Elephas maximus indicus: one gene and its partners. The protein of the gene in region 2 interacts with the protein of the main gene of each other region in a biochemical or structural test. Links are inferred from orthologs where the notes say so. Each region holds a gene or a part of one and is shown on either strand. Other genes may lie near its edges.

Evidence for each region. The genes of interacting proteins can lie anywhere in the genome.
Region 1: the proteins of RNF20 (region 2) and WAC form a complex in vitro, tested with the Homo sapiens proteins (2 studies listed by BioGRID). The link is inferred for Elephas maximus indicus from reciprocal best matches to the Homo sapiens genes RNF20 and WAC.
Region 3: of the proteins of RNF20 (region 2) and histone H2B type 1-B, one has a biochemical effect on the other in vitro, tested with the Homo sapiens proteins (2 studies listed by BioGRID, with this or other methods). The link is inferred for Elephas maximus indicus from reciprocal best matches to the Homo sapiens genes RNF20 and H2BC3.

What each region holds. Positions count from the first base shown.
Region 1 is NC_064822.1:26,711,273-26,721,627, reverse strand, and holds the start of WAC (WW domain-containing adapter protein with coiled-coil), read left to right. Parts: upstream 1-6,056; 5' UTR 6,057-6,096; coding exon of another isoform or gene 6,097-6,107; 5' UTR 6,108-6,109; coding exon 6,110-6,150; intron 6,151-6,506; coding exon 6,507-6,543; intron 6,544-8,043; coding exon 8,044-8,239; intron 8,240-10,355. Other genes in the region: uncharacterized protein LOC126074836, read right to left, coding at 2,054-2,155, 4,998-5,168, 5,396-6,056, 6,097-6,107.
Region 2 is NC_064827.1:51,276,545-51,287,570, reverse strand, and holds the start of RNF20 (E3 ubiquitin-protein ligase BRE1A), read right to left. Parts: upstream 4,991-11,026; 5' UTR 4,926-4,990; exon of another isoform or gene 4,873-4,925; intron 3,755-4,872; 5' UTR 3,729-3,754; coding exon 3,600-3,728; intron 1,064-3,599; exon of another isoform or gene 989-1,063; intron 1-988. UniProt on the Homo sapiens protein: Component of the RNF20/40 E3 ubiquitin-protein ligase complex that mediates monoubiquitination of 'Lys-120' of histone H2B (H2BK120ub1).
Region 3 is NC_064819.1:73,170,356-73,180,748, reverse strand, and holds histone H2B type 1-B, read left to right. Parts: upstream 1-6,429; 5' UTR 6,430-6,468; coding exon 6,469-6,849; 3' UTR 6,850-8,279; downstream 8,280-10,393. Other genes in the region: histone H3.1, read right to left, coding at 4,317-4,727; histone H2A type 1-D, read right to left, coding at 5,755-6,147. UniProt on the Homo sapiens protein: Core component of nucleosome. Nucleosomes wrap and compact DNA into chromatin, limiting DNA accessibility to the cellular machineries which require DNA as a template.

The sequences.
Region 1 (10,355 bases), on a different chromosome or scaffold from region 2:
AATGACATTTTTTAATGAGATGGAGAACCAAATCACCAACTTCATATGGAAGAGCAAGAAACCCCAGATAAGTAAAGCTTTACTCAAAAAGAAGAGCAAAGTGGGAGGCCTTACTCTACCTGATTTTAGAACCTATTATACTGCCACAGTAGTAAATAGAGCCTGGTACTGGTACAACAGATACATAGACCAATGGAACAGAATTGAGAATTCAGACATAAATCCATCCACATATGAGCAGCTGATATTTGACAAAGGCCCAAAGTCAGTTAACTGGGGAAAAGACAGTCTGTTTAACAAATGGTGCTGGCATAACTGGATATCCATCTGCAAAAAAAAAAATGAAACAAGACCCATACCTCATTCCATGTACAAAAACTAGCTCAAAATGGATCAAAGACCTAAATATAAAATCTAAAACTATAAAGATCATGGAGGAAAAAATAGGGACAATGCTAGGAGCCCTAATACATGGCATGAACAGTATACAGAACTTTATTAACAGTGCAGAAGAAAAACTAGATAACTGGGACCTCCTAAAAATCAAACACCTATGGTCATCCAAAGACTTCACCAAAAGAGTAAAAGGACTACCTACAGTCTGGGAAAAAGTTTTTAGCTATGACATTTCCGATCAGCGCCTGATCCCTAAAATCTACATGATACTGCAAAAACTCAACTACAAAAAGATAAATAACCCAATTAAAAAATGGGCAAAAGATATGAAGAGACACTTCACTAAAGAGATGCAGGTAGCTAACAGATACATGAGGAAATGTTCACGATCATTAGCCATTAGAGAAATGCAGATCAAAAGTACAATGAGATTTCATCTCACTCCAACAAGATTGACATTAATCCAAAAAACACAAAATAATCAATGTCGGAGAGGTTGTGGAGAGACTGCAACACTTATACACTGCTGGTGGGAATGTAAAATGGTACAACCACTTTGGAAATAGATTTGGCACTCTCTTAAAAAGCTATAATAGAACTACCATACGATCCAGCAATCCCATTCCTCGGAATATATCCTAGAGAAATAAGAGCCTTTACACAAACAGATATATGGACACCCATGTTTATTGCAGTACTGTTTACAATAGCAAAAAGATAGGAGCAACCAAGGTGCCCACCAACGGATGTATGGATAAATTATGGTTTATTCACACAATGGAATACTATGCATCGATAAAGAACAGTGAGGAATCTGTGAAACATTTTATAACATGGAGGAACCTGGAAGGCATTATGCTGAGTGAAATTAGTCAGTTGCAAAAGGACAAATATTGTATAAGACCACTATTATAAGAACTTGAGAAACAGTTTAAACTGAGAAAAAAACATTCTTTTGTGGTTATTGAGGGGGGAGGGAGGGAGGGTGGGAGAGGGATATTCACTAATTAGATAGTAGATAAGAACTACTTTAGGTAGTTCTTATCTACTATCTAATTAGTGAATATCCCTCTCCCACCCTCTTTAGGGAAAGACAACACAGAATACAGGGGAAGTCAGCACAACTGGAATAAACCAAAAGCAAAGAAGTTTCCTGAATAAACTGAATGCTTCATAGGCCAGAGTAGCAGGGGCAGGGGTTTGGGGAGCATGGTTTCAGGGGACATCTAAGTCAGTTGGCTTAATAATACCTACTAAGAAAACATTCTGCGTTCCACTTTGAAGAGTGGCGTCTGGGGTCTTAACACTAGCAAGTGGCCATCTAAGATACATCAATGGGTCTCAACCTACCTGGATCAAAGGAGAATGAAGAACACCAAGGACACAAGGTAATTACGAGCCCAAGGGACAGAAAAGGCCACATGAACCAGCGACTGCATCATCCTGAGACCAGAAGAACTAGATGGTGCCCAGCTACAACCAATGACTGACCTGACAGAGAACCCCTGAGGGAGGAACATTGCAGTGGGATGCAGACCCCAAATTCTCATAAAAAGACCAGAGTTAATGGTCTGACTGAGACTAGAAGGACCCTGGTGGTCATGGCCCCCAGGCCTTCTGTTGGCCCAGGACAGGAACCATTCCCAAAGCCAACTCTTCAGACAGGGATTGGATTGGACAGTGGGTTGGAGAGGGATGCTGGTGAGGCATGAGCTTCTTGGATCAGGTGGACACTTGAGACTATGTTGGCTTCTCCTGCCTGGAGGGGAGATAAGAGAGTAGAGTTGGTTAGAAGCTGGCGAAATGGACAGGAAAAGAGAGAGCAGAGGGAGGGAGCGGGCTGTCTCATCAGGGGGAGAGTAATTGGGAGTATGCAGCAAGGCGTATATAAGTTTTTATGTGAGAGACAGACTGGATTTGTAAACTTTCACTTAAAGCACAATATAAATTATTAAAAAACTTATTTAAAAAATCCAAAATTAAATAAAATGGGCAACAAGATGAACTTTTAAAAAATGGATGTACCATTTAGAAGTGTCCTTTAGGATAAACACTGCCTGGGACTGTTTCTCCCCATAGCTTAGTCCAGCTTGCTGCTCTTGCTCCAGCAGTGCAATTCAATTTCAGCATAGACATTTGCTTATCATGTAAAAATCAGATAACTTCGCTGCCTCCTGCGTAAGATTTACATATTACCGTTTTTTACTCTAATGTCTCCTGTCTTCAGTTTGTTACAAAAGTGCTGAAAGTTGCACTAAGACTCTTTTTTTTTTTTTTTACCCCTTTTGCGTTATTTTAGACTGACTTGTTTTCTTAATTGCTGACAGCTTAAGTGGGCATTAAATAGGTTTTCACTGGTCCTTATAAACTGGTACAATCTTTACATTTAGCAAGTGGATGTGGTAAATAACCTTTGCTGTTGAATGGATTCCGACTCATAGCTACCTTATAAGGTTGGGAATTATCCCCATAGGGTTTCCAAGGAGAACTTGCCACACCTTTCTCCTGTGGAGGGTTCAGCCACCAACCTTAGCAGCCTAGCACTTAACCGGTGTGCTATGAGAGCACCTTGTGGTAAATAAGACTAATTTTTTTCAACTGGTTGTGATTTCAGGGGCCCTTTTCCCCTCCATAATTCCACCTTTTAACTAGGCTTAGGAATAACAACCTGTCAGATACACATGCCTAAACAAATCATTTATTTTTTGATATTGTTTTTTGGAGAGGTTTCCTTTCTTTTGATTTCCTACTTTGCCTTTTTTTCCCCTAATGATGCCTAGTTTATACATTTACTTTATTACAATGTTTTTCATTAAACTAATGCCATATAATCAACTTCCTTAGAAAAAATTTAGAACAGAAAAATTTAGAAAAGAAAAAAAAACACTACCACCAAAGTAAAATTTAATTTTTTGAAATACCTAATGTCCCCTCCCACCATATGCCAATGTTGCTATTGTGCCTGGGTTGTTAAGTGTGGACAAGTTGGTTCCAACTCATAGTGACCCTATGTAAAACAGAATGAAACAATGCCTGGTCCCATATCATCCTTACAATCACTGCTGTTTCAGCCCATTTTTTCAATCCATCTCGTTGAGGGTCTTCCTCTTTTTCCCTCTCTATTTTCCCAAGCGTGATGTCCTTCTACAGGGAATGGTCCCTCCTAACAACATGTCCAAAGTACATGAGACAAAGTCTTGCCCATCCTCACTTCTAAGGAACATTCTAGCCATACTTCTTCCAAGACAGATTGGTTAGTTGTTCTGGCAGTTCATGGTATATTCAATATTCTTTGCCAACACCATAATTCAAAGGTATCAATTCTTCTCTGGCTTTGTCTAGCTTTTGTAGGCATATGAGGCCATTGAACACACCATGACTTGGGTTAGGCACATCTTAGTCTTCAAAGTAACATCTTTACTTTTAAATACTTTAAAGAGGTCTTTTGCAGCAGATTTGCTCAATGCAATACATCTTTTGATTTCTTGACTGCTGCCTCCATGGCTGTTGATTGTGGATCCAAGTAAAATGTAATCCTTGACAACTTCAATATTTTCCCCGTTTATCCTGTTTCTTATTGGTCGAGTTGTGAGGATTTTTGTCTCCTTTTTGGCGAAATGCAATCCATACTGAAGGCTGCAGTCTTTGATCTTCCTGGACTGCAGCAGCCCACAAAATTAAATTTGTAGCAATTTAATTTCGCATACCCTAATATCTGACATAAAGTAGCCCTGTGGTTAAGAGGGAAACCCTGGTGGCATAGTGGTTAAGTGCTATGGCTGCTAACCAAGAGGTTGGCAGTTCAAATCCACCAGGCACTCCTCGGAAACTCTATGGGGCAGTTCTACTCTGTCCTATAGGGTTGCTATAAGTCAATACACTTGACAGCAGTGGGTTTTGGTTTGGGTGGTTAAGAGCTCAGGCTGCTAAGAAAAAGGTGGACAGTTCCAATCCACCAGCTGCTCCTCGGAAACCCTATGGGGCGGTTCTACTCTGCCTACAGGGTGGCTATGAGTCAGAGTGGACTCCAAAGCAACTTTATTTTTAAATGCCGACATAAAGGGGCCCTGGTGGCACAGCGGTTAAGCATTTGGTTGCTAATCAAAAAGCCCACCAGGCGCTCTGAGGGAGAAAGATGGGGCAGTCCGCTTTCTTAAAGATTTACAGCCTTGGAATATCTATGGGGCAGTTCTAGTCTGTGCTAGAGGGCCGGCTATCAGTCGGACTCGACAGCAACAGGCCTGTTAATACTTCACATGCAAAGCCTCACATCTAGAGCCTCCAAATGAATTTTACTTCACCAATATTTCAGCGAGGAACTCGAAGAGCGAAAAAATGGCAAATAAGGAGAGGGTGGGGCGTGCACGGTGAATTCCCCATGCTGAGAAAGGAAAATATCGAAAGAGGATGCGACAGCTGAACGCTTTTCCCAAGTAGCCCATCCTTATAAATCTCCAGCCTAATCCGATTTCTTAATTTACTGCCCTGAGCGGCGCTCCCTCCTCAATTCAGGAATCCTAGGAACACAGCTTTCTCGCATTCGGTACAAATCCCCTAACGCCTCTGTATTCGGCAGTTCTCGTTAAGAGAGCGTGACTTACTTCTAAAACGCCGCCGGGCGCGCGCGGAGAAGCCCCTGCCCGGCTGACGGCCGGTAGCGTGCTCAGCGTCTCATCTGGGCCAGGTGCGCAGGCCCAGGATCTGGCCCCCACAGGGAAGCCCTGACGGAGCCGGGTCAGGCGCCCCGCTTTCCCGAGGGCAGGATCCGCGAACTACAACCAGAGAGCTACTCGGTAACTGCTCGCCTGTCGCCTAACTAGGGGCTTGTAGACGACCCGGCGATCAGAGCCCGCAGGGGAGGGGGCGGGCGGCCCGAGAGCTCGCCGGAGGGCACCCACCACCCCCTCGCTTCTGGGCGCACGCGCAACCGCCTTCCTTTAGTCCGCGATGGCTTCCTTCGCGCCCCACCGTCCTCCTCCCGAAGGCGGCCCCTGCGTACCCCAGAGCCACTGGGACCGGCCTCGAGCAAGTCCCTGAGCGGGGCTAGCCCTGAACAGGAATAGGGGTGGCCGGACGCGCGCGTGAGGAAAAGAAGCGGCAACCGGAAAGAGCTGACGGGCCGTGAAGAGGCGAAGCAGGCCTCAGAGGAAGAGGAAGGCCGGCACAAGCCGAGGTTTGCCGAAGGCGCCGTTCTGGAGCTGCGCTGGGCGGGGAGGAAGACCGAGGGTGGGAGAGGACGGGCGCGGCGGAAACTGCCGATGTTTTCCGAAGGCGGCAGCATCCGAGTTGCCCGGATGTAGTTGGTGGAGCGGTATCGGCGGCACCAGCGGCGGTGGCGGCGGCGGGAGGAGGAGAGGCGAAGGACCAGGCAGCGGCGGCGGCGGGGGGAGGAGGGGAGGAGGCGGCGGAGCAGGAGGAGGAGAAGGCGGGGAAGGCATTCGCTTTCCGCGGCGCTGAGCCAGACGCGTCTTCTTGCCCCCCTCCCCCCGGTTCGCCGCTGCCGCCGTGTAGTTGGCGCCGTTGCCCCGGCCAAGAGTGAGTGTGGTGTCGGCGGAGGGAGATGGCCCGGGAGCGCCGGCGCCAGTAACGGGGAGGTGCTGAGACTCGCCGAGGGCGCGCCGGGCCGTGGTGCCGGTACTGCCGCCCGCCCGCCCGCCCGCCTCTCGCGGCCGCTCTCCCCCCTCCCCGACACACACTCACAGGCCGGGCATTGATGGTAATGTATGCGAGGAAACAGCAGAGACTCAGTGATGGGTAAATTGTCTTTTCTTCTTTTCGGGCCGGGCCGCAGCGGGGGGCGGCGGCGGCGGCGGAGGGGGGGCTGTTCCTCCTTATCTGGTGCTGGCCAGGCCGCCATTTTTGTTGTTAACCCTGATCCGGATCGGGCTGGGGAGGAGGAGCAGCCGCGGGAGCAGCGAGGAGGGAGTGTGCGTGGAGGGGAGCCGAGGGCCGGGGTTGCAGCGTTTCGCCGTCCTGGTGTGAGTGTGTGTGTGCGTGTTGCTCGCGGGGTACACTTGTTAGGTCTGCCGCGGGAGGGGTGGAGGGGGGACCCGTTTTTTCTTCCTCCTCCCGCGATGTCTCATGTCGCTGTGTCTCTTCCTGTTTTTCAGCTGTCACGACCGGAGGGGGGACTCGCAGCCTTACCAGGTACCAGCCGTGGCCGGGGTGGAAGGGTGGGAGGGGGCCGGAGGGGGAGGGGAGAGGCTGCTACTCGAGCGCAGGCTTCTGAAGTCGCTACAGGCCCTTCAGTGCACCAAACCCGAAACTAGCACCGCGGGCCCTCCAAAAATTTTGTGTTTAGTTATATTAGCGCTCTCCAGCAAGGTTTACTGACTTATTTTGACAGGTGACTGGAGGAAGTACAAGTTTTTAGGAAAAAAAAAAAAATCATCTGCAACCGGGAAGACCTGGCTCGATTATTTGGGTGTAAAGGAATTGATGTGAAGAGGAGTTAGGTGATTTTTGAAGTATTTGTATTTATTGTACTGAGGAACTAAAAGTTAATGGGAAGGTGTTAAAATTAGATGAAAGGCCTGGAAAGAGATAGCTAATTGCCTTTCAGCTCTTAAGTTGTTTGTAAACAACTCTCTCTGCCCATTCTAATTTTGTTGCAAATAATTGCTTAACTGGTGAAAGGTACTGCTTTTTTATTACTGTAAGATTTGTGATCTTTGGATGCTTGAATATTTCATTCTAATGTGGATGGCTCTTGCTAAGTAGTTTCTTTTTTGTTATGTTACTGCAGGTGTTACATAAGTAAAGTTTTTAAAAATTATGATAGAATTGCCCAAGGTTTGGGGCAGAAATCTGATGCATGGCTGACAACTATCATAACTCTAGAACTTCTGTAAATAACTTTGAGTCTGATCACTTAAGGGATAAGAGAATAGTTTTCTAAGCTGAAAGTTCTGTTACTGGCAAACAGGAGTTGTTAAAGCTCAAGTTAGAAACGCTAGGTCCCCTGATGTGTAAACATTGTCCATAACATTTTGATATGACAAAGATTAAACCCTATTGAGTCTGGCCCTCTATATATTAAATATTGCAAACACCTCATATATCAATGCTTTAAATGTGTTCAAGTGAAATTAAGCCATTATTGTGGGGAAGTTTTATTATACTTTTTTTTACAAATATTGCTCATGTATCAGTTTTATTTTGGCCAGTATTTTTATCCCTTTGAAATTGTTTTCCAAGCCTGCAGAAATAGGTAAGTTAGGCCTGAAACACTTCATCTGAGAACTATTACCCCCCTTTAAAAAAAATTTTTTTTTTGTAGATTTGTACATGTCTAAACATACCAGTTGCAGAGCAGAAATTGAATACAGTAGTATTTAGGTTCTAGTTTTCCTTGGATTAAGGTTTCAAAAAAATTTGAAATATTAATTCCCAGGAAAATGTATATGGAATCAGTGTGCTGAGGTGTTTGATATAATGGAGTGGATTTTTCCCCGTTATGATATTTATTAGGAGCTTTGTAATAACAAGCATTTGTGGCTTGTGTTAATAATTTAAGAGCATAACTGATAATGGAAAATTTAATTTTGCCTATGTAAATTTTTAAAACTTAATGATGTCAATTAAACAAAATAGTAAAGTTTAAAGTTTCAATTCTTTCTTTTTTGGGGGGGGTGTGATGTTTTACAGGCACTTAAATACTCATCGAAGAGTCACCCCAGTAGTGGTGATCACAGACATGAAAAGATGCGAGACGCCACAGATCCTTCACCACCAAATAAAATGTTGCGGAGATCTGATAGTCCTGAAAACAAATTTAGTGACAGCACAGGTCACGCTAAGGCCAAAAACGTGCATGCTCACAGAGTTAGAGAGAGGGATGGTGGTGAGTAGCTTTCCTGTTGAAACTGTCACATATTTATCTTATAACAATGGCTGTATAGGCCTATAGGCGGTAGTAGTATTTCAAGTTTGAGGACATTGTCATGAGGTTATGTCATTAAAGTATTTCAATTTTATTAACCTATTATGATTCATTAACAGGTTATTGTAGAAATAAGATGCTGACTTGAGTATCTAAAAACTGGATTCTTAGTGGCTGATAATAAGAGGGTGTATTTATGAATATATAGTTTACCAAATGCTTTATTAATAATGGGAGAAATACAAAACATTTTCCCAGGAAAGTAAGTTACTTTTAAGTAAAGATTTCAGTTTATTTGGCTTAGTTTATTTTGAGACCCTTGTTGCTGCTTGAAGTTGTTTTAAAGAGTTCAAGTCTGTTTCCTAATTATAATAAGTTAGAAAATTTAAAATTTAGTATGTTTTCAAAACAGCTCATGGATTAAAAAGCCCATTTGTGATTCAGAAAATATCTTCTGAGTTTTTGTTGTAAACATTTTAAATTTTATTTTCTAGGGTCCTGTTAATTTAACTTTTACACAGCTTTCAATTCAACTTTTTAAAGGTTAGGTTAGCCTTATTTCTTTTGCATGCTGCTAACACTCTTCAGTTATTACTATGCCTCAAGTTCTTTGTGGTAGGAGACAGAATAAGTAAATAAATCCAACTCTAGGTAACTATTTTCAGACTTAAGTTGCCCCAAATTTACCAAAGTAATCAGGTTTCATGTCTAAGAAAGACATTAAAGAACAAACCATTTTTCACTAAGATAATCAAGACAGTTCTCTTCCGCCACAGTTAGATCTTACATTGCTTAATAGATAGAATGCTTGAGATAAATGTACAGATTGTGCTTTTATAAACTTCCAGGGAAACTCAACAGTACCATATGGCTTTCTTTCTTCCTTGTTAGCAACTAGTTTTCAGTACTTTGTTTTTTAATGTCCTGCACCTTCTGGTCCTCTTTAGTGTAGAAATCAGCCTTACTCAATGTAATCAGGTAATGAGAAACATTTGATCACCTATGTACTACATAATTACTAGGTTGGGGAAATTAGTAATGGTCATAGATTGCATTGGGAAGGAATAATTTGGATGATTATTGGATGGGAGGAAAATAAAGTTCATTTCTTCTCTGTTGAATATTGCTGTAACTTTGTACTACTTAAGCAGGTAAACCATATTTTTCAGTAGTACTACTGGGTGGGGCTTGATTATTAAAAACATTTGAAGTTCTTTGGCAAAATTAAACTATTAACATTTTCATTTTGGGGGGTGAATTTTCCACGGCGCTATGTATAGACCAAGATGGTACTATTATCGAACTTTTCTATAGTGGGTTACGTACCAAATGTAAACTCTTGGAGGGTGGGTACTGCTTATGTGGTAGAAAGCTTTATTTTTTATAGTTTTGGTGATTGTAAAAAAAAAAAACAGGATGTGGCACCTCATCTCCTTGTAGATAGGCTCTTACGTTCCATTTATTTCCAAAGCCAGGGAAGAAGTCCGTTGATGCACACAATGAAACTTGTGTAAATGCTTCCATACATTTTCCAGGGAACCATACCCGATAAATTCTTTCACAGGTGAAGTAAGCCCAAGAGCATCCTGTTGGCTTATTCATTCAGCAAACATTGGGCATCGACTGTGTGCCACCAGCTGTGCGGTGCTCCTGGAAGTACCGATAGGATGTGGTCCTGGTCTTGAGGCTGGCCGTCAAGGCATTGACTCTTGAGAGTTAGTCATATTTTAGCTGCTTGTCCTTTCTGAACCCCTTTTCACTTTGATTTTAATTTTCCTTCCTGGGAGAACTCTAGGTATATCTTGTTGGTTTTTAGGTTCCTTTTTATTTGTATCTGCTTCCATTGTTTACTCAGTTGATGTTCTTTTAGCCTCATGTATAAGAAACTTGTTGCATGATTTTCTGATCGTTTTCTAGGTTAGGCTCCACTCTCTACTTTCTAAGATACTTTATATATAAGTCTGTCAGCTCTTTTGCCTGTCTTCCTGAGTTCCTTTTTTAATTAACGTAACTCTGTACGTGTGTGTATCTTTAATAAGCCTGGTTGCCATATTCCTTTTAACTATAAGAGAATGAG
Region 2 (11,026 bases):
TAAAACAACCTTGATAAATCAAAATAGTCCACAGCTTCCCAACAGTACCAGTTTATTAAGGCTATTGATAAACTATATCCTCAAACTTTTCTCTGAATACCACCTTCCTCCCTTCTTGCTTTAACTGAACCCTGAAACCCTCTAAAGTGGTGGGTGTTCTCTCCCACACCCCCTGAGCCCCTGTGCCTCAAAGCAACTGGTTGTTCTCCTTGTTCTCCACTGGCACTTACAGGCCACCCTCCTCCCTAAAACCTTTTAGCTTTGCTATGCATGCCACTGGTCTGTACCACCTGCCACCTGCCTTGTTTCAGTCATCTACAAATGTGTAGGTCACGTCCTAGCTTATATTACTTTCTCCAATACTACTCCTGTTATATTCTTACTAATTTCGATTCCCACAAAAGTGATCCTTCCAACATCTAGGATTATCAATTTGTTGACCTCCTCTCCTCCAAGGAGCTTATCCTCTACCTCCCTCACTCACCAACTCCCAGGTATTCTTCTTCTCACCAGTACCTGCACATTCTCTATCAACACAATTTCATGTTCCCCATTCTCCACAACTACCACTTATTTTTCCCGATCACTTCTCTTTAGTTTCCAGACTCCAACAATTCCCCAATTCCACCATGCTCGACGATCCATTGGTCTCACCTTCATTCCTCTCACTTCCTTCTTTACCAATCTTAAACTCCATGATGAGTCATTATAATCACCCCTTTTATATATCTCCACCTCTTTCCTTGCTCCTTCATCACATCTCTCTGATAAGAACCTCCAACTCTGGTAACACCCAACTCTCCAACTATGCCAAGATGACAACCATGCAGCTAAATGTGCACGGCGGCAACTGGAACAAATAAAGCACCGTGCTGATTAGTCTCACTTTAAACTCATGATCACAAACCTCAAGTGGGCCCTCAGAGCTGCCCAGCAGTCCTACTACATCTCTCTAGCCCATTCTCTCTTCAAGATGACTACTTCATACCTTCTCCTGTCTCTTCAAACCTCCAAAACTTCCTCCCTCATCCTCACTCTCAGACGAGTCTTGATTCTGATTTCACTGAAAAAAAAATAAAAGCAATCAGAAGACAGCGTCCACACCTACCTTCCACAGCCACAGCTACCAGCCTATGTATGAACCCATATCCCTCCTTCCTCACTCCTGCCTGATAAGAACTTGAACATTACATTACATTCCCTCTCTCCCATTCAAGGATATCACACCAGTAACTGTCTCCTCTTTCTGCCACATCATCAAGTTTATCCTTTCTACCAAATCATTACAATCAACAGATGAACAGGCTGTAGTATCTCCTACCTTAAAAAATCAACAAAAAATCTTCCCTCAGCCCCACATTCCTGTCTGGCTACTGCCCCATTTCTTTGCTCTACTTTACAGCAGTACTACTCTTTTCCCCAATTCCTCTCCTCTCATGTTGTCCTACATTGATTGCAATGAGGTTTCCACCCTCACCACTCTACCAGTACAGTTCTTGTTACGTCTCCGGTGAACTCTCCGTTGCCAAATTTAATGATCGTGTTAGTCCTCACCTTACTCCATCCATCAGCAGCACCTGATCAACTCCTTGAAACACTTTCTCCATTTGGCTTCCGGGACCACACTCTCTCTTGTTCTCCTCCTACCTCACTGGCCCCTCTTTTACTGTGTCTTCTCATCTATTTGATGTAAAAATGTTGCAGAGCCCTACAGCTCTGTCCTCAAGCCTCTTTCTATCTATGCTCATTCTGTAGGGAAAAACCTTGGTCTCTTGCATCTAAATATCACCTATGAAATAATGACTTCCAGACTTCTTTCCAGACTCCAGATTACTATATCCAACTGCTATCCACTCAGAAGTCTAACAGCTATCTCAAACTTACATTCCCAAAACCAAACTCATGATTCACCCTCCGTATCTTCCTAAAATCTCCCCTTCTCATATGGTCCCTAGCTCATTTACTGGAAATTGTTACTTGAAAATCCTCAGGTGATCTTGCCTCCTTTCCCTCACATGCTTTGTCCAATTCATCAGCAAATCCTGTCAACACTACCTCCACATGGGGTTCAAGTCAATCATCAAGGTCACTACAATACCCTCCTGTAGCAGACACTTTTGTGCCTCATGATATGACCTGTCGGCCCACCAGATTTCAGCACATGTGTGGCGGACAGCTCCACTCACACTGCCAGTGTTACCACTTCAACCACACGTTGGAGTCTCTCAGTTTTTCAGTCCTACAATCTCAGCTGGTTCACCACAGAACCCTGAAGGAGATGAGTTACTGCCTCCAAGGGCAACCTTCAAACAATGAGGGCAGAATCAGTGGATCATGCCCCAGCTTCCTACCCTTGAAGAGGTGGGGCAACAAGGGGAAGGGCAAAAAGGGGACCATCCTGCTAACTGGACTCCTGCTCATAACCCTTCCTCCTCTACATGTATTCTCCAAACCTAACTCAGAGCATGTCACTTCCCCACGTAATATCTTTCAGTGGCTCTTCAATGCCTTCTGGATGACGTCCAACCTGGGTGCTACGTGATTCCCTAGAGCCTTGCTTACCACAATAAACAGCACATCAAAACCAAAACCAAACTCGTTGCTGTCGAGTCGATCCTGACTCATAGCAACCCTGTAGGACACAGTAGAACTGCCCCACAGCACATATCCAACTCATCTTAACAGTGCATCCCCTTATATTATAATAGCACCACCTGACAAACTGAAGTTCAGGGCTGTCCTCAGTGTAAAGCACAGTGCCTGGCAAATAATAGATACTCCATAAATATTTATATTCATCAAGTGAATAAATGTTCTTTGGGTGCATGACGTGAGGCAATGCTAAGACAAAAATCACTCCCTGGCAGCAGTTTGGTGTAGCTGATCCACAGATGGCCTCAGAAATGGCACTTCAGTGACAATTTGCTCCGAATGTTCCTAGTATTCTTCCTGACTCTGAAAACAAAATCAGCTTCTCTAAGCCTCAGCCTCACAATCAAACAGAAAATAGATGTGGTTTTGTAAGCTATACAAACCTGAAGTGTCTTAACACCATATCCCCATGGCTGAGCCCCAAAACACAGAACTCTGATTGATATCAAAAACATTAGCTTCTGACATCTAATGGATATATAAAATTACAATGAGCTTGCAAAATAAAACCATCTAATGAAATTGTCAGGTCCATAAGGGCAAAAATAATAGCTATTTCACTTACCATTATATTCATATTATTTAGCCCAATAATAACTATTAATAGTTCACATTTACGGAGTACTTACTTTGTCAAAGGCAATGCTGTAAGCCTTTACATGGACTCTCATTTTATCCTCACAACAACCTAGTGACGTAGGTATCGTAATTACATTTTACAGACAAGGATACAGATGCACAGGAAAGATAATAAAAGGTCACACAGCTTAAAAGCGGGAGAGCTGAGAGTTAACCCCTGGCAGTCTGGCTTCAGACCCTCACCCTTCACCACACTCTTAACAACTGTGTTCTACTTCCTCTTATACCTGGCACTGTATTCTTCCATAAATTCTCAGTTTCAGATCACAACTGACTAGAAAAGTACAGTTAGGATTTTCACCACATACCGTTGAAGAGACACCTCCTAGCTTAATTGTTTCCACGGTGGTCCCTGAATCCTCAACAGCTGTCTTCTTCTCTGGAGGCGCAGATGTGCCAGGCTCTCCGGCTGCTCTTTTATTCCCAGTTCCTGACATCCTGGCACAAGATGACGGCTGCTTTCCTGGAGGGGAAAAAAAAAAAGCAGAAACTGTGGTAAGATATGCAGAGAGGCAATTAAAAACGTCCAAAAAGAGACCACCTATGATGCAAAAATTAGCAATTTTTCCAGGCAGCCTTTTAACCTACAACCGTTGATTTCAGACCAAGGAACACAATCTTTAATTTCCTCTTGGGAAAGAAGTAAATTGTGGAGTAAGAGTCAGGGCTGAATTATATGACCACAGATTTCTAAATAGACTGCTGATAAGTAAAACAATAGGCAAAGGATGAACAGACCAAGAAAAAATTTCAGGAAGTTATCCCTTACTTCCTTTGACTTCCCGAGATGTCAAAATCAGAAAGGTACAGTTTGTTTAGGATGGAAATTAACTGTATGATGTTGGAAGAACCAAAGAGCTGAAGAGATCTGGGAGATGTCTAGCAAGTCACTAATACTGGACAAGTCATTTATCATCTCTGAGCCTCAGTTTCCTAAACTAAAAATAACGGCATATACTTCCTATAGGGTCGCTATGAGTCGGAATCGACTCGACAGCACTGGGTTTGGGTTTGTTTCTTCCTATGCTTATGACAAGGATTGAGTGATATAATTACAGAAAGAACTCAACACCCTGCCAGACATGAAGTAAGCACTCAGAAATGCTAGCTCTCCTTTTTATGTGTGCAGTTTCTCTCCTACTTCCAAATTCTCTCCCCACGACTCTGTGCAAACCTAGGGAAGCTAGAATCCCCAGGAGCGAATCCCAATTCTACCTCTCAGGGAGCCTTGTTGCCTTCAAAGAGTGAGTTCTCCAAGAGCTTCAGTTCAATGAAGGCGAATAACAATTTCATCTGCCCTACCTTACCCGCAGGGTTTCGGAGGTCAAAGGAGGCGGAATGGATACTAAAGCACTTTGGTTACGTTAAGCAGCCGCCCTGCCATCACAGAGCCTATAGACCTGAGGTGGAGAGGAAACAGAGGAGCAGCGACTAGAGCCGCAATCCAACTCGAGAGGGGCCAGGAACCCTGCCACCGGCGCTGCCAATTGCAAGCCTGGGGAAGAGGAGCCCCGAAACCGCAGAGGCTGGAGATTCCCGAGGGCCCGCACAGTCCCGTCGCGCCCTCAGCCGTCATCTAACCTGGTTCCTTCAACTCGCGCCGCCCGGGAGCAGAACTCGCGGCAGTTACTCACCGAGGCCCGCGGCGCCCTCCCACCTCTCACCCCTGACCCGCGGGCGGTGACCGAGCGGAGCTTCCGGGGGGCGGGGCTAGAGAAAGAAGGGAAAGGAAAGAGGAAATCGCTTCAACCCGGCCCGGGCGGAAGTGACGCCACGCGGGGGCGCCGAGCGGCCAGGATAAGCGCGGCGTTATTAGCCAGGCTTGAGGCGGGCGGGGGAGGCTCTCTCTACGGTGAGAACTCTCGGTGTATCTGGGACTCGCCGAAGCTGGAGGGAGCGTCCCTGACTTTTGTAGGTTTGTTGGCCTTTAATACTGCGATCTTGGATTTTTCTGCTGAGTGAAAGTGCCTGATTCTTTTGCCTGTTCTTGGTTCTAGAGAGAGTCGTTCACACGCCTGATTGGCTGACGGTCCCGTCAATCTCCGGGTTGGCAAGAACTAAGCCTCAGACACCTCTGGGAAATGTTTCGCGGAACTCCTTGGTGCTGAAAAAGAGTTCTGGAGAAAATACAAGGGATTTGAAGGGTTTCCACGCTTTTAGATTTTTCTTACAGGGAACAATATCCGGCCTTGTCTACATAATAGAATCATTTGGGGAGCTTCGGCGCCCTGGTGGCGCGGTGGTTAAGCTCTTGGCTGCTAACCCAAGATTGATAGTTGGAATCCACCAGCTGCTCCTTGGAAACCCTAGGGGGCTGTTCTATTCTGTCCTATAGGGTCGCTATGAGTCGGAATTGACTGAACGAACTGATTTCTTGGTTCCTCTAGGGTGGGGCCGGAAACCCTGGTGGCATCATGGTTAAGAACTACAGCTGCTAACCAAAAGGTGGGCGGTTGGAACCCACCATCCAGTCCACCAGCTGCTCCTTGGGAACAGCATGTGGCGATTCTGCTCTGTCCTGTAGGGTCACTATGAGTCATAATGGACTGGACCCCAGTGGGTTTTAGGGTAGGGTCTGGATATTGACACTCTTTTAAAAAGCATCTTCAACAAACCCTACCCCCTCTCCCCTGTGATTCTAATATGTCTAATTCTCTTGTGCCATATTGAAACAAGAAATTGACCAGGAAAAAGAATCGCAAATCAAGAGGCAGTCTCTGATCTAAACACTAATCTATTTTAAGCTAATTAGCATTGATTTTTGTCAGTGACAAACAGCTGTTTTCTGTTCAATTAAATGTTTTATTCTTTAATGATAGAGAAGGTAATCAATCTAACCCTATCACTAAAGCTCTGTGCTTCGCAGAATTAAGAAAAACTGCCTAATTATATCAGATGAGGGCTCAAAGAAATTTGGGCATTATTGAAAAAAAGATCAAACCAAATTTACACTGGATTTCTGGTAGTGTGAAGACTTCCCTGTACCTACTGGGTCTTGACCTGTGGATGAAATAAGGTGAACAATGGGAAAAAAACGTGTTTCTGGTGCCTGGTACTAGAACACCATGCCTGGCCTGGAAAGAAGTAACTGGCTCCAAATGGACTTCACATTTCATTGGGTTTAACAGAGGCCTGAGAACCCATGTTTGGGAACCAACCTGCTGAAAAGCGTTGTATATGACAGTGACACCGGTTCTCTGATCTCCTGCTTTAACTAATCTACTCTTGGCAAGACTTACATTTACAACCACTGAATGGCAGAATTTTACTGCAGTGCCTCTACTAGCCTTGAGCTTGTAAACCAGAGCTTCACAGGCTGTTTTTGGCCAACAGATAATAAGGTTTGTTTGGTTTGGACACTGTTGGCCACCCTGGGTGGTTTAAAACACACACACAAAACTGACTTGTTAACATTTCAAATGTGGACATTTTACATAAAAATCCAGATTATCAATTTATTTTGAAATTTTTGAAGATCTAGCAACACTGGGCTTATAGTCTTGCCTGGCAACATTGCCTACAGCTGAATAGTGGCATCTGTTTTATTAATGGAGCATATTTCTCTGGTTTGCCATAATCCTCACTCCAGAAAAAAAAAACCAAACCCATTGCTGTTGAGTCAGTGCCGGCTCATAGGGACCCTGTAGGACCTTTTGGTTAGCAGCCAAGTTCTTTAACTGCTGCGCCACCTACTTATCAATTCTGACACTAAGGGTGAGTTTCGTTTGAATGCTCTCACCGTGCACTGTATAACGATAAACAATCATTGAGCATTGTTGGTTGCTGTCTTAGTTTCTTAGTGCTGCTGTAACAGAAACACCACAAGTGAGTAGTTTTGAAGAACAGAAATGTGTTTTCTCACAGGTTAGAAGACTAGAGTCCAAATTCAGGGCACTGGTTCTAAGGGAAGCCTCGCTGTCTATCGTCTTTGGGGTAAGATCTCATTCAGTTTCTGTAGACCCGGCATTCTCTGATGCCTTGACTGTCAGTTTGTGCTTATTTCTCTGTGCTTAATCTACTCATTTTATATATCAAAAGTGAGTAGGTTTGAGACAACCTACACTGACATGGTCTCATTAATGTAACAAAGAAACCCCGATTCATTCCTAAATGAGATTACATCCATACGTATCTGTCTGTGGAGTCCATTCCAGCTCTTGGCAACCCATGTGTGCAGAAGAGAACTGCTCTGTTAGGTTTTCAAGGCTGTGACTTTTCAGAAGCAGATCATCTGTCTTCTGAGGCACCTCTGAGAAGTTCAAACTCGACTTTTAGGCTAGTAGTCCAGCGCTTAACCATTTGTACCACCCAGGAGTTAGGAATTATAACACATGTTTTGGGAAGACACGTTCAGTCCATAACAGTTGCCTATATAGTATCCAAGGAGCCCTGGTGACACAGTGGTTAAGTGCTTGGCTGCTAACCTAAAGGTTGGCAGTTTGAACCCACTCAGCAGCTCCTTGGGAGAAAGACTTGTCTATCTGCTTCTGTAAAGATTACAGCCAAGAAAAAAATCCTATGGGGCAGTTCTACTCTGTCACATAGGATGGCTATGAGTTGGAATCGATGGCACACAATAACAACCCAGTGTCTATTCCACCCTTAACAGAACTAGGATTTTATTCGCTATTTAGTCATCTTGATTCTGTATGTCTTGGGGGAATCTGACTCCACCCCCATCTCCAAGGATTGTCTTAAAATAAGTAGTAAATCCCTTTCTCCAAGCCATGCTCCTAGGCTCAGTAAAGGGTTGTCTAGTCAGGGTGAATCTCTAGGAATATTAGGACTAAAACTATCTTCTTTTCTCTGAGTTTTTTGTGTGAGGCCTGAAACTGTTGCAGCCCCTTTGCCACCAGTTTGAGAACGGAGTCAACCCACAGAGGAAGGCAGAACCAAGAGAATCTCAGGGAAATGGAGCTAGTCAACTCAGGTCATCCCTAACTTCAACCCACACTTAAGGGTGCTAAGAAGATATACGGAGAGGGGGAAAAAAAACCTTTTTAGGACCCTTTAGCTCTTGCCATGTAGGTAACCATATTCTCCAGCTACTAGAGAGAACTATCTTCTCTGAAACCCCCACCCAGTCATTTGATACATTCACAGTAACCTGGCCTGATCCTAGAGAATTGGGACAAATGGAGTGGGGAGAGGAGGAAGCAGGAGACCTTTCTCACTGACTGCATTCCCCATTCTGACAAACCACCACCTGTTCATTATCTTAAGAGAAAAAGGAGTAACCCCAAAGAAGTGAGGTTTTCTCATACTCATAAACAGAGAACAGCATTAGCAATGCTAACAGAATACTTAGGATTTAGAATACTTTTGTTTAAAAGCTCTTATTGATCATCTCAGCAACATTATAATTTGAGTAACTATAATAAGTATAACAGTAATGCTTTTTTAAAAGTGATAAAACAGACTCAGAAGTTTCAAGTGATTGTTCCAAATTACTGAGCAAGTATTTGTCTTAATTAAAGGACCAAAGTTTTCAGATTTCCAGTCCTTCTATGTTAACTACACAATTCCGCCACAAGATGGCAGCAGGGCACATGCCTCTTATCCATTCCGCTTTATAGTTGGTGGTTGGAAAGTACTGTACTTACCAGTCAAGTCTTCAATTTAACTCTCTAAAACCTGGACAGCTGCTACTTAGGGTGGGCTTAATGCACTCAAATTAAAATATTTCTTTATTTTTATTTACCAAAACTTTGTCAAAAATACTTTTTCTATTCTTCCTGCGGGTGTTCAGCTGTAAAATTGTTATACCTCCATTCATTCAGACATTCCACAAACTCTGTATTGGGTTGTGTGCTATGCATAATTCTGGCAGCCCCTTATTTATCTCTTACTTAGACAGCTGCTGTATTTCATCTGGTGTGGCATCGCTTGTTAAACAGACACATACAGATTCCACAGAGTTTGCTCCAGACTTAGTTAGAATCTGCAGAGAAGGATCTGAAAATGGAAGTTCTTACTTTTGTAATTACACGTCCTACCTAGACAAGTCTGAAGAACACTACCCTAGGTGATGATGTCCAGCTGCGCCTGAGAGTGTCCTGCAGAAACCAGTCCCGTTTTTGTCCTCAGCTTCTCCTACTCTATAACCCTTCACCAGTGCCACATCTGCAATTCATCTTCACACCTCTGTCTCCCTCTCCCAGGATCACTTTGGCCACTACGTTGTGCCATGTCCCCTGTCCCCTGCTTTGTGTTTTCTAGGGACCAGGGTCATAGCTTAGGCCAGGAGCCACAGCAAGTCCTCTCATCCTCTGAGAATGGGGACAGGGAGTCCCAACAGGGTCTGTGCAAACATGAGAAGTGATATGTAGTCAAATTGTCAGGGGACCCTCACTTTATTTAAATCTCCCCTAAAAAGCTGCATTGTGTCTACATTCCAAAAAAAAAGAAAACAGTTGCCATTGAGTTGATTCCAACTCAGGGCAACCTCATGTGTTTGAGAGTGGAACAGCGTTCCATAAGGTTTTCAGTGGCCATGATCTTTCAGAAGTAGATCACAAGGCCTTTCTTCCAAGGCACCTGTGAATAGATTCAGACCACCAACCTAGAGTCACGCTCTGAATTTGGACTTCTAGACTCCCAAACTGTGAGAAAATAAATTTCTGTTCTTTTTTTCTTTGTTTGTTTTTTTATGTTTTTTTAATAATTTTTCTTGTGCTTTAAGTAAAAAAAAAAAATTTTTTTAAGTGTAAGTTTACAAATCAAGTCAGTCTCTCACACAAAAACCCATATACACCTTGCTACACACTCCCAATTACTCTCCCCCTAATGAGACAGCTCGCTCTCTCCCTCCACTCTGTCTTTTTGTGTCCATTTTGCCAGCTTCTAACCCCCTCCACCCTCTAATGTCCCCTCCAGGCAGGAGATGCCAACATAGTCTCAAGTGTCCGCCTGATCCGAGAAGCTCGCTCCTCACCAGCATCCCTCTCCAACCCATTGTCCAGTCCAATCCATGTCTGAAGAGTTGGCTTCGGTCCTGGGGCAACAGAAGATCTGGGGGCCATGACCACTGGGGTCCTTCTAGTCTCAGTCAGATCATTAAGTCAGGTCTTTTTATGAGAATTTGGGGTCTGCATCCCACTGCTCTCCTGCTCCCTCAAGGGTCCTCTGTTGTGTTCCCTGTCAGAGCAGTCCTCAGTTGTAGCTGGGCATCATCTAGTTCTGGTCTCAGGATGATGTAGTCGCTGGTTCATGTGGCCCTTTCTGTCTCTTGGGCTCTTAATCACCTTGTGTCCTTGGTGTTCTTCACTCTCCTTTGATCCAGGTGGGTTGAGACCAATTGATGCATCTTAGATAGCTGCTTGCTAGCATTTAAGACCCCAGACGCCACTCTTCAAAGTGGTATGCAGAATGTTTTCTTAATAGATTTTATTATGCCGATAGACTTAGATGTCCCCTGAAACCATGGTCCCCAGACCCCTGCCCCTGCTACACTGGCCTTCAAAGCATTCAGTTTATTCAGGAAACTTCTTTGCTTTTGGTTTAGTCCAATTGTGCTGACCTCCCCTGTATTGTGTGCTGTCTTTCCCTTCACCTAAAGTAGTTCTTATCAACTATCTAATTAGTGACTATCCCTCTCCCACCCTTCCTCCCTCCCCCTCTCGTAACCACAAAAGAATGTTTTCTCGCTTTAAACTATTTCTCAAATTCTTGTAATGGTGGTCTTATACAATATTTGTCCTTTTACAACTGACTGATTTCACTCAGCATAATGCCT
Region 3 (10,393 bases), on a different chromosome or scaffold from region 2:
GGGAGAGTTCATTCACAGAGAGCTAAAAATTATTACAAAAATCTCTAGATTTACCAGTTCTTTAGATACAATCTTCAACAATATTTTTGCTCAAATCTGTCCATGTTCTTTAATTTTGTTCCATTCACTTATAATTGTTCTGATAATTGACTGGCTTAAGATCACTGAGCCACAAAGTTGAATCTAAAAATTGGCTACTTAGAGAAAAACACAATTGATCCTTGTCTCAATTTTATTTAGTTTATACGACCTATACTTTAATTTGACAGTGTTAATTTTTATCATTTTCAATTTTTCATTCAGTTTTATAAAAAATATTAACAATGGCAAAAATAAACTTAAAGAATTGTCCAAACACTGCTAGGGAGCCAAAAATGGCAATGAATGCTCCATAAACTAAAGCGCTGACAGATAATTTAACCCCCAAAATGCTTTTTCATAGTGTATGAATTGTTCTAATTGACCATGTATGATAGAAGTGTGGATAATACAGAAATTTAGAGTTACTTGTAATGCATTACTCCAAACTTTATTTTTATTTTTTGTATATACACAGTGCTCTTGTGGCTGACAATTTAAATGTCCTATTACCTCCCTCCCCAGGCAAAGCTCCAGGTTTTTCTTCTGTTTTCCCTGAGGATATGTAGAAGGTGACTTTGTGGCTGAAATCCATGCCAGAGTTGAACAGGTCCAGTGCCAGACAGGATTACATCATTAGAGGATTTCAGAAGGGAGCAGGGATTTAGGGCACAGTGACAACAACAGCATTGAGAGGTAACATTTCTTGAGCACTTACAAGGTGCCAAACACTAGTGCTGAACACTCTACATTTATTTTCATACACTTTCTCGTCACAGCACTTTGAAACAGGTGCCGTTAACAAAGAACCAAACCCCTTTCTGTTGAGTTGATTCTGACTGACAGCGACCCTATAGGATAGAGTAGAACTGCCGCACAGTGTTTCCAAGGGGTGCAAGGCTCTAGGGAAGGCGACTGCCACATCTTTCTCCCCATGAGCTGCGAACCACTGACCTTTCTGTTTGCAGGCAATCACTTTAATTACTGCACCACCAGGGCTACTACTCCCATTTTAGAGATGAAGAAACTGAGGCTTGGTGATGGTAAGAAAAGTGCTCAAAGATGTAGAAAATAAGTTTCTGATCCTTGAGCCAGTGTGATTATCCACTATAAATACATGTTAGCACTGTTCTTTAGAAATATAAGGGGAGCCACGATATAATTTAAAAAATTTTAGTAGCTACATTTAAAAAAAACTAAAAAAGCAAAACAAAACTCATTTTAATCCACTTTAGTTGTAATATTATAAGTTTAGCTTGTTATCAATATGAAAATATTAATGAGTTTTTTTTTTAATTCTATATCTTTAAGATCTGGTCTGTATTTTATTCTTAAAGCACATCTTAATTTGGACTAGCAACATTTCAAGTGCTTAACAGCCACACATGTCTAGTGTCTTGGAGAAACCAGCTCAATAGTAAATAAATATACTTGTTCTGGAGCAGAATCTAGAAGTTTCTAGGGAAACAATTATTCTGACCTTGTTCTGAAGCCCTTGGAGCCCTGGTGGTGCAGTGGTTAAGCATTTGGCTGCTAACCAAAAGAAAGGCAGTTCGAATCCATCAACCGCTGCTTGGAAATCCTATGGGGCGGTTCTACTTTGTCCTATAGTGTCACTGTGAGTTGAAATCAACTTGAGGGCAATGGATTTGGTTTGGTTGTTTTTTTCCTGAAGCTCAGGGAGCGTCCCTAAGACCACTCTACCCATTTCACTTCACATCTGTTCTCTGGCCACACAACCGGATTTCGCCTAGGCTACGCCACCAGGCAAATGGTTTGCCCTCCGCTATTAATCTAAAGGTTGGCAGGTGGAACTCACTCATAGAAGAAAAGGCCCGGTGATCTGCTTCTTTTAAGACTACAGCCGAGAAAACCCTACGGAGCTGCTCTACTCTGCAGCACATTAGGTAACTATGAGTTCAGATCACGGGATGGTAACTAACAACTAGGTCATCACAGCCCCTTCCCATCTACCCTGATGCAGCCCTATGGGGTGTACTCCCACTTCTGAAATCGAGTTAGCCTTTAAGAGGAAACTCTAGATCTGATAAATCCCATGTTTGGGTAATCTTATTGATTAGAAGATATTAAGAGTGTGAGTGTGGCGTGAGATTGCCTGGGATTAAATCCTAGCGATGATATTTGCTAGTGGGATGACTGGCCAATTAACCAAAATATCTCAGGCTAAAGTTCCAGCTCTATAAAATGGATACACTGAGAGAATTTGCCATACAGTGTGTAGTAAGGATTATACATAATAATTCAGGCTTCGGATGGTACTTGACCCATGGAAAACTATCAAGGTTAGAGCTACTACACAGACTTCTCTAATGAATTCATCTCTATTATCTCACTTTTATGGTGACCTTTATAAAGGAAGGTCATTTTCAGGACAGAACGAGCCTATAAAACCCTGCAAAATTGTTATCCCAGGCAACTCATTTTAGCACTGAAGAGTTCAGGTTGCTTAGAGGTGACCTTATATCCTCCTCACTAATCTTTCTCCTCCTGATATCTCTGAGAATGGTACCACCAGCCATACCCAGTACCCAGAGCCTTCGAGTCGATTCCGACTCATAGCAATTCTATAGCCATAGCATCATGCAAAGCAGCGATACATCTGAGGGGTCTGGGAGTATCCCAGGCCAAAACAAAACAAAGCAAAACAAAAACAAACCCTTTGCCATCAAGTCGATTCTGACTCATAGTGACCCTACAGGACAGAGAAGAACTGGCCCCATAGGGTTTTCAAGGACCGGCTGGTGTATTCAAACTGCCGACCTTTTGGTTAAGCAGCCAAGCTGTTGACTACTGCACCATCAGGGTTCCAAAAATGCTCATAGTCAGCAGGAACCAAACCTGCACAGAGAAACCCCAATGGATTTCTAGCCCATCACCTTAACCACTAAGCCCCGACTACGCAGACACTCCAGACCAGAGATACTCAATTAATTCCTAGGGTGCTCACATCGAAGTGTATTGGACCAGACTGGCAGGGGGCAGAGAAACCCCATGTATAATTTTGAAAAGCATAGCCAGTTCTCATGAGTCAGAATTGACTCCATGGCACTGGGTTGGGGAGGGGTAATGGAAGCATCAGGCTCAGCAATTTTTTTTTTTTTCCCAAGGCCCTGGGAAAGGCCTTAACAGTGCGTTTACTTGGTCTTAATAGTTTTTGGGTTGTTTTTAATTTCGCAATAATAAGGTATTTTACTTACAGTTGTTTATGATGGTTGCTGATTTCCACTCAGTCTTCCCTTCCATTACAATTCACCTTGTGTCTGATTATATTGGAACGTTGGTGAGTGTATTTGGGATTTGTGTAAGAGAAAATTTAGTTGGAGATACGTTTAGTTTGGGGTTAATGAGGTAAGTGATTTATAGGCGTGCTCCTATATAGCTCAGTTTTTGTTAACTAAACTGATGAAAGAATGGCTTCAAAGAAAACTACTATTTGCTGGGATACCTGGAATGCTCACAAGAAGATGCAGGGCAAGATGTCACAGCAAGACATCCACATACCCGTTGCGCCCCCCACTGGGAGTAAGTGCTTAGTGCACAGGAGAATTAAGATTTAAAATATACTGACCCTGTAGCTAATCTGTGAAGAGTTCTCCCGATTTTTTTCATTCACATAGGAAAGAAGCTTGATACAGGATTTCCTAAATTGGAAAAAAATCCTGAAAATTACTGGACACCCAATAATGTTTTAAAACTGAAACTTCTAAATTGTCAATAACAGAAAAGAAGCTGTGATCAAACATGCTAGGAAATATCTTCCCATTGTCCATGTAGAAAATACAAATTAATTTTGAAGACATAATCTGAGTATACAGACAAAAATACAGAAAAACACTGCGGTGTATTCATAAAATATCCTCTTTCTGAATATTGTGGATACGAACTTTTTATAAATTGGAATGTGAACTTTCCATCCTAAGGGAACACTAGATTTTACAAACTTTAAAAGCCCTAGGGTGTCCCCGCCAATCTACTTCAGCGAGACAGAAGCTCTGCAGTTTAATACCTCGTCAGCCATCAAACCTTAACAGATAGTGGCCTCTTTTAAAAAGAAACGGTTGTCTTTGACTCAGCTGAATTAAGCTTTCAGTGGGCATTTACATACATACAGGTGGCTAGTAAGCAAAATAGGTAAATTAAGAGTACAACCACTTTTAAGTGAAAGTGTGGGTGGCTCTGAAAAGAGCCTTTTTTAAGTCAAAGGGAAAAGTGGCAATTTACGCCCTCTCCCCGCGGATGCGGCGGGCCAGCTGGATGTCCTTGGGCATGATGGTGACGCGCTTGGCGTGGATGGCGCACAGGTTGGTGTCCTCAAACAGCCCCACCAGGTAGGCCTCGCACGCCTCCTGCAGCGCCATGACGGCCGAGCTCTGGAAGCGCAGGTCGGTCTTGAAGTCCTGCGCGATCTCGCGCACCAGCCGCTGGAAAGGCAGCTTGCGGATCAGCAGCTCGGTGGACTTCTGGTAGCGCCTGATCTCGCGCAGCGCCACGGTGCCGGGCCGGTAGCGGTGAGGCTTCTTCACGCCGCCGGTGGCCGGGGCGCTCTTGCGGGCAGCTTTGGTGGCCAGCTGCTTGCGGGGTGCCTTGCCGCCGGTGGACTTGCGGGCTGTCTGCTTGGTACGAGCCATCACGGAGAGACTGAAGACAAACAAAAAGTCTAGCAAACTGGTGGTAAAATTGCCTTTAAATATAGTTTGAAGCGACCTGATTGGCTTTATGAAGTTTCAAAAGTTCCGCGCGATAAAACCATTGGCTGATGGCTGACTGGTGATTGGTTAATAACTAGAGACTGTGATTGGATGAACTATTCCACTTCATCATCCGGGATTCCTTTTGTTAATCTCAGATATTTGTAGGGGATTAATTTTCTAAAGTTCTAGTTCTGCCCGTCTCCATGTACTGTGTGCATGAGGAACCCTTTAGGGATCTTGTTAAAATGTAAATTCTGATTCCATATATCTGAATGGGACATGAGATCATGAATCCTTAACATGCTTGCAGGTTATGTCAATACTGGTGGTCCCCACATATTAAGTACAGTTTTATCGTCTGCACTTAACCGTCTGTTTTCTTTTCCAGTTAAATTATCGCGAGTCGCCTGGACTGACACAAGCCCTGGTCATTGTAGCTCCCCTAATCCTGAGTTTGTGAAACCTTTGTGATCTACATGTCAATGTACCTGGGTGGAATATCTGGCGAAGCAGTTAAAGCGACGGTTTCAGATTTGGCGGGTACACACAGAATAGCAACAAATTGTCACTGGTTAATGTTGGACAAGATTATTTTTCTAGATTCAGAATTTGAGGAACTAACACTGCTTTATTATTGGTTAAGGACGTGGTGAATTTCCTTACTTCGTTTTTCGAGCCCCAACATTTCTCGGCCCCGCCTGTTTTGTAAAACACCTTATTTTGCTTGTTAGGTTTCTTTTTATACAAAATATTCTGAACGACCTACTTTCCTGGTGCTCTTTAAACTAATGTATCTTATTAGTTACGACACAGGCTTTTCTTATGTTACTTTTAAACACTACGTAGTTTAGGAATATACAAACACAGAGTTATCAGCTTCTCTCTTGAAAGTGTGGATGGCTCTGAAAAGAGCCTTTTGTCTAGTTGAGAACAAGGAAGTGTTTTTACTGCTTATTTGTGGGCTTCACTTGCCCTTAGCCTTATGGTGACTCTCGGTTTTCTTGGGCAGCAGCACGGCCTGGATGTTGGGCAGGACGCCACCCTGCGCGATGGTGACTTTGCCCAGCAGCTTGTTGAGCTCCTCGTCGTTGCGGATGGCCAGTTGCAAGTGGCGCGGGATAATACGTGTCTTCTTGTTGTCGCGGGCCGCGTTGCCCGCCAGCTCCAGGATCTCGGCCGTCAGGTACTCCAGCACCGCCGCCAGGTACACCGGTGCGCCGGCTCCGACTCGCTCGGAGTAGTTTCCCTTACGGAGCAAGCGGTGCACTCTGCCCACCGGGAACTGCAAACCGGCGCGGGAGGACCGAGTTTTGGCTTTGGCGCGAGCCTTACCACCCTGCTTTCCCCGTCCAGACATCGCCCTTTACACTAAAACCAACACGCAAATTGAAAGTGTTTTAAGCTGGAAAAACGCACTTATAGGCAATGCAGGGCTATGAATGTACCCTGCCTGATTGGTTAAAATAGACAGCCTTGTTTTGTCCAATAGGAAAAGAAAGTGTGTATTGCTTATTTGCATAAACACCGTACTTGGCAAAGTGTACTACTATCCAATCAGAGGTGAGAGTTCGTAAACCCTCATTTGAATTACGCAACTATAAAGAGAGGGCTCCAGGATTTTTCCTAACTTCGGTGGTGAAGAGGTTGTTAAGCGGTTCAGTTCCAGTTCTGAACAGTTATGCCTGAGCCATCTAAGTCTGCACCAGCTCCTAAAAAGGGGTCTAAGAAAGCTATAACTAAGGCGCAGAAAAAGGATGGTAAAAAGCGCAAGCGCAGCCGCAAGGAAAGTTACTCTATCTACGTTTATAAGGTGTTGAAGCAGGTCCATCCTGACACCGGGATCTCATCCAAGGCGATGGGTATTATGAACTCCTTCGTCAACGACATCTTCGAACGCATTGCTGGGGAAGCTTCTCGCCTGGCGCATTACAACAAGCGCTCGACCATCACGTCCAGGGAGATCCAGACGGCCGTGCGCCTGCTGCTGCCCGGGGAGCTGGCCAAGCACGCGGTGTCCGAGGGCACCAAGGCCGTCACCAAGTACACCAGCTCTAAATAGACGGGCCTGCGTAGGTTTTTCTTAATTCAAAGGCTCTTTTCAGAGCCACCTACTTTCTCGGAAGAGAGCTGTAATTGCGATCATTGTGCATAAGAGAGAAAAGCTGAGGTACTTAAAGACCAAGTTAAACTGACAAATTTTTTCTGCTGCTCTAGCTCCCTCCGAAAAAGCTGTTTTAACTTTATTAAACTCGTATTTTCAGTGTTTGATGCAATCCTTGGGATTTTTATTTATCTATACTCGAGAACGCTCTTTCTCTCCTGCGTCCCAGCTCTTTCCTGCGTCCCAGCACTTTCCTAGTGGTGACTGGAAGGTCCCTGGAGAATAACGGAGTGGTTAAGACGTTTCCGTGCGTAGTTACCCCTGAGGGCGTGGTTAGCCAGGCTCTTGCCCCAAGAGTGAGGAGGAGGAGGATGTCGGGTCGTTTTCGCCCGAAACATGAACTCAAGATGTCAGACGTGGCTGCCTGCATTGGGGCACAGGCAAGGGAGATCTCCGGTTGTTTTTCTGGGAAATTCTGGAGCGTCTACTCGACCTCTTTGCCATTGCACAGCCGTTTAAAAAAATTTTTTTTAATCGAATGCAAGAAATCCGGACCTCATTTCATGTATCACTTACCGTTAGGGGCTTGTCACCAGAATAGGGCGGGATAATGGCTAGAGCTCCGGGAGGACAAAGGGTTTGAATTTCCCTCTATTTCCCATCTGGCGCCACCTTGTGTCTGACTGGGAAGATCTCAGTTGGAGGGGCCCACTGCCGGTTTTTCTTGTAGGCTCTTTAGCAAGAATCTAGAACCTCAAAAGTACCGATTTTGAGTGCAGGGTACGGGGAAGGTAGGAAGACAGGGAAAAAAGACAGCTGCCAATTAAAAGGAAAAGTATGTTCAGTCTGTTTACCAGTCTCTTATGTAGATGACATACAGCAGTGTCTTTGGAGAACAAAGCAAAATTTAAAGAATTTCTCAAACAGGATCTTTTAAAGGAAAGTAAAAATCACCTTCTCCAGGATCCCAGGGAAGATGTCAGCCTCAGTATGAGAAGCACTTCCTATCCCAGTGTATGCAAGATATTATGAGACATTTGTCTTGAAAATGAATAATGCTTGTTTTTTTTTACATTATAACAATGGTTGCCCGCCCCCCAAAACAAGAAGTAGTGAACTCAGGCTGCAGTTTAAGGATCACTGTCCTGTAGGTTCCTCCCTTGGAAGGCTGACACGTAGGTAGTAATATTGTATCTTAACATCTGTTGAGGAAATATAATTTAAAAAATCTGCAAACTCAGAAAAGATCACAAAGTTGGAAGAGAAAGAACACAATTTTATTATTGAATAAGCATTAAGCCAGGAGGGGATGCATCACAGGGAATCTGCTTTAGATATTGCAAAGACAAAGAAATCTCACCCCTCTATGTGGCTAAGTGGATGCAACCTGTCTTAGTTATCTAGTGCTGCTAAAACAGAAATACCTTAAGTGGTTGGCTTTAGCAAAGAGAAATTTATTCTCTGACGGTTTAGGAGGCTAGAAGTCTAAATTCAGGCCACCAGGTCTAGGGGAAGGTGCTCTATTTCTGTCGCCTCTGGGGGAAGGTCCTTGTCATCAATCTTCCCATGGTCTAGGAATTTCTCAGCACGAGTACCCCAGGATCCAAAGAAAGCACTCTGCTCCCTATGCTTTTTTCATGGTGGCATGAGGTCCCACTCCTCTCTGCTCAATTCTCTCTTTTATACCTCAAAAGAGATTGACTCAAGATACAACCTAATCCTAAAGATTTAGTTCTGTCTTGTTAATATAACTGCTTCTAATCCTGCCTCGTTAATATCATAGACGTTAAGATTTACAACACATAGGATAATCATATGAGATCACAAAATGGTGGACAATTGCGCAGTACTGGGAATCATGGCCTAACCAAATTGATACACATTTTGGGGGACACAGTTCATTCCATAACACAACCCATTACATACATGTTCTCAAGATAATCAATTAATAATGTCTCATATCTTTACGGTTGGAGGTAGGTTTGTAGTTTGGAGCTAAGTCTGCAGGCATGCTCATCTCCTCCCAGAAAAATGGGAGATGGGAGCACTATCTTTCTTGACATTTACATTTCAAAGAAATGGCCCACAGGTCCCTTTGGAAATATTCCTGAGTTCTGAAATTGGCAAGAAGCTTATTTAATATTTGATTTTCCACATTTTCAAAATAATCTCTTGAGGTAGGGATTATTTTCTCTCCAATTTGTCCTTCATAAGTTTTGCCTGCTTGCTTTCTTTTGTTCTTTTATTTGTTTCTCTCTTTCTCCTTTCAAATAAGAAACTGAGAATGTTTTATCTAAAACTTGTAACCAAAAAGATCAGCAGTTAGAATCTACCAGGAGATCCTTGGAAACCCTATAGAGCAGTTCTACCCTGTCCTGTAGGATCACTATGAGCTGGAATCAACTTGAGGGCAATGGGTTTTTTGGTGTTATACCCTTAGTTGAAATGCTGGTGGCGTAGTGGTTAAGTGCTACGGCAGCTAACTAAAGGGTCAGCAGTTCAAATCCACCAGGCGCTCCTTGGAAACTCTATGGGGGCAGTTCTACTCCATCCTATAGGGTCGCTATGAGTCGGAATCGACTCGACGGCACTGGGGTTTGGGGACCCTTAGTTGACAAGCCCAAATTACATTCCAGGCTTAAACTCAAAACTAGGCCTTTCTGCCATCGCTGTTTTATCTGGCTGATCTTTACAAGTGAATTAAGAAAAAAAAAAAAAAAATCACGTACCTGGGCTGGCTGGTAGGCCTTGGGTCTATGAGGGGAGATGTGAGAAGCCAGAAATTTTCATATTTACAAATGTCAGTTGATTCTGATGAGGTTCCAACTTTCGATACAGCAAGGACAGTGGACAAGTCCATCAGCTTGAGGGAAGTACTAAAAAGGTTTATGTACCCTTTTCCTAGTTAACTAACACCCACATTTTCTCCAGAGCTACAGTCTCAAGGTGTTGAAGCAGGGTCCACAATAGCCAGCAAAAGACCACATACATGGTCTGTCAGTGCATAGGAAAAGTTTTACTCACACAGAGAAGAGACAGAGCATGAGTGGCTTCACTAGTGGGCACCAGCCTCCCATGGCCAGCACGTTCATCCCACATATGGCCACTGCAGGGCAAATGTTCTATGTTCACCTCTCTTGTACCATAGTACATAGTATGAGAGAGCTCAGTTCCATCCCTGCTGTGAACAAATATAGAAGTGGGGTTGACCAGGTGCTTTATGTTGATTGTGCATATAAGAGAGACAGAGAACATTACTGTGTGTCCAGGACAGGGGCAAGACTTCTCTGATAAGGAGAAGGAACTGGGAGAGAAAAGGCGATCCAATTTTCAGCTTGTCAGAGGAATGTTCTGGTCCCAAAGCCTTTACTTAGGCAGCCTGGATGGGTGGTGTAGAGGAAGACCATTCCTCTACCACAGGGTTAAAATAAAAGAGACAGAGAGAGAAATAACCTACACTGCATGCCCAATTTTTTCGGTCATAGTAAGTTTTGACTACCAC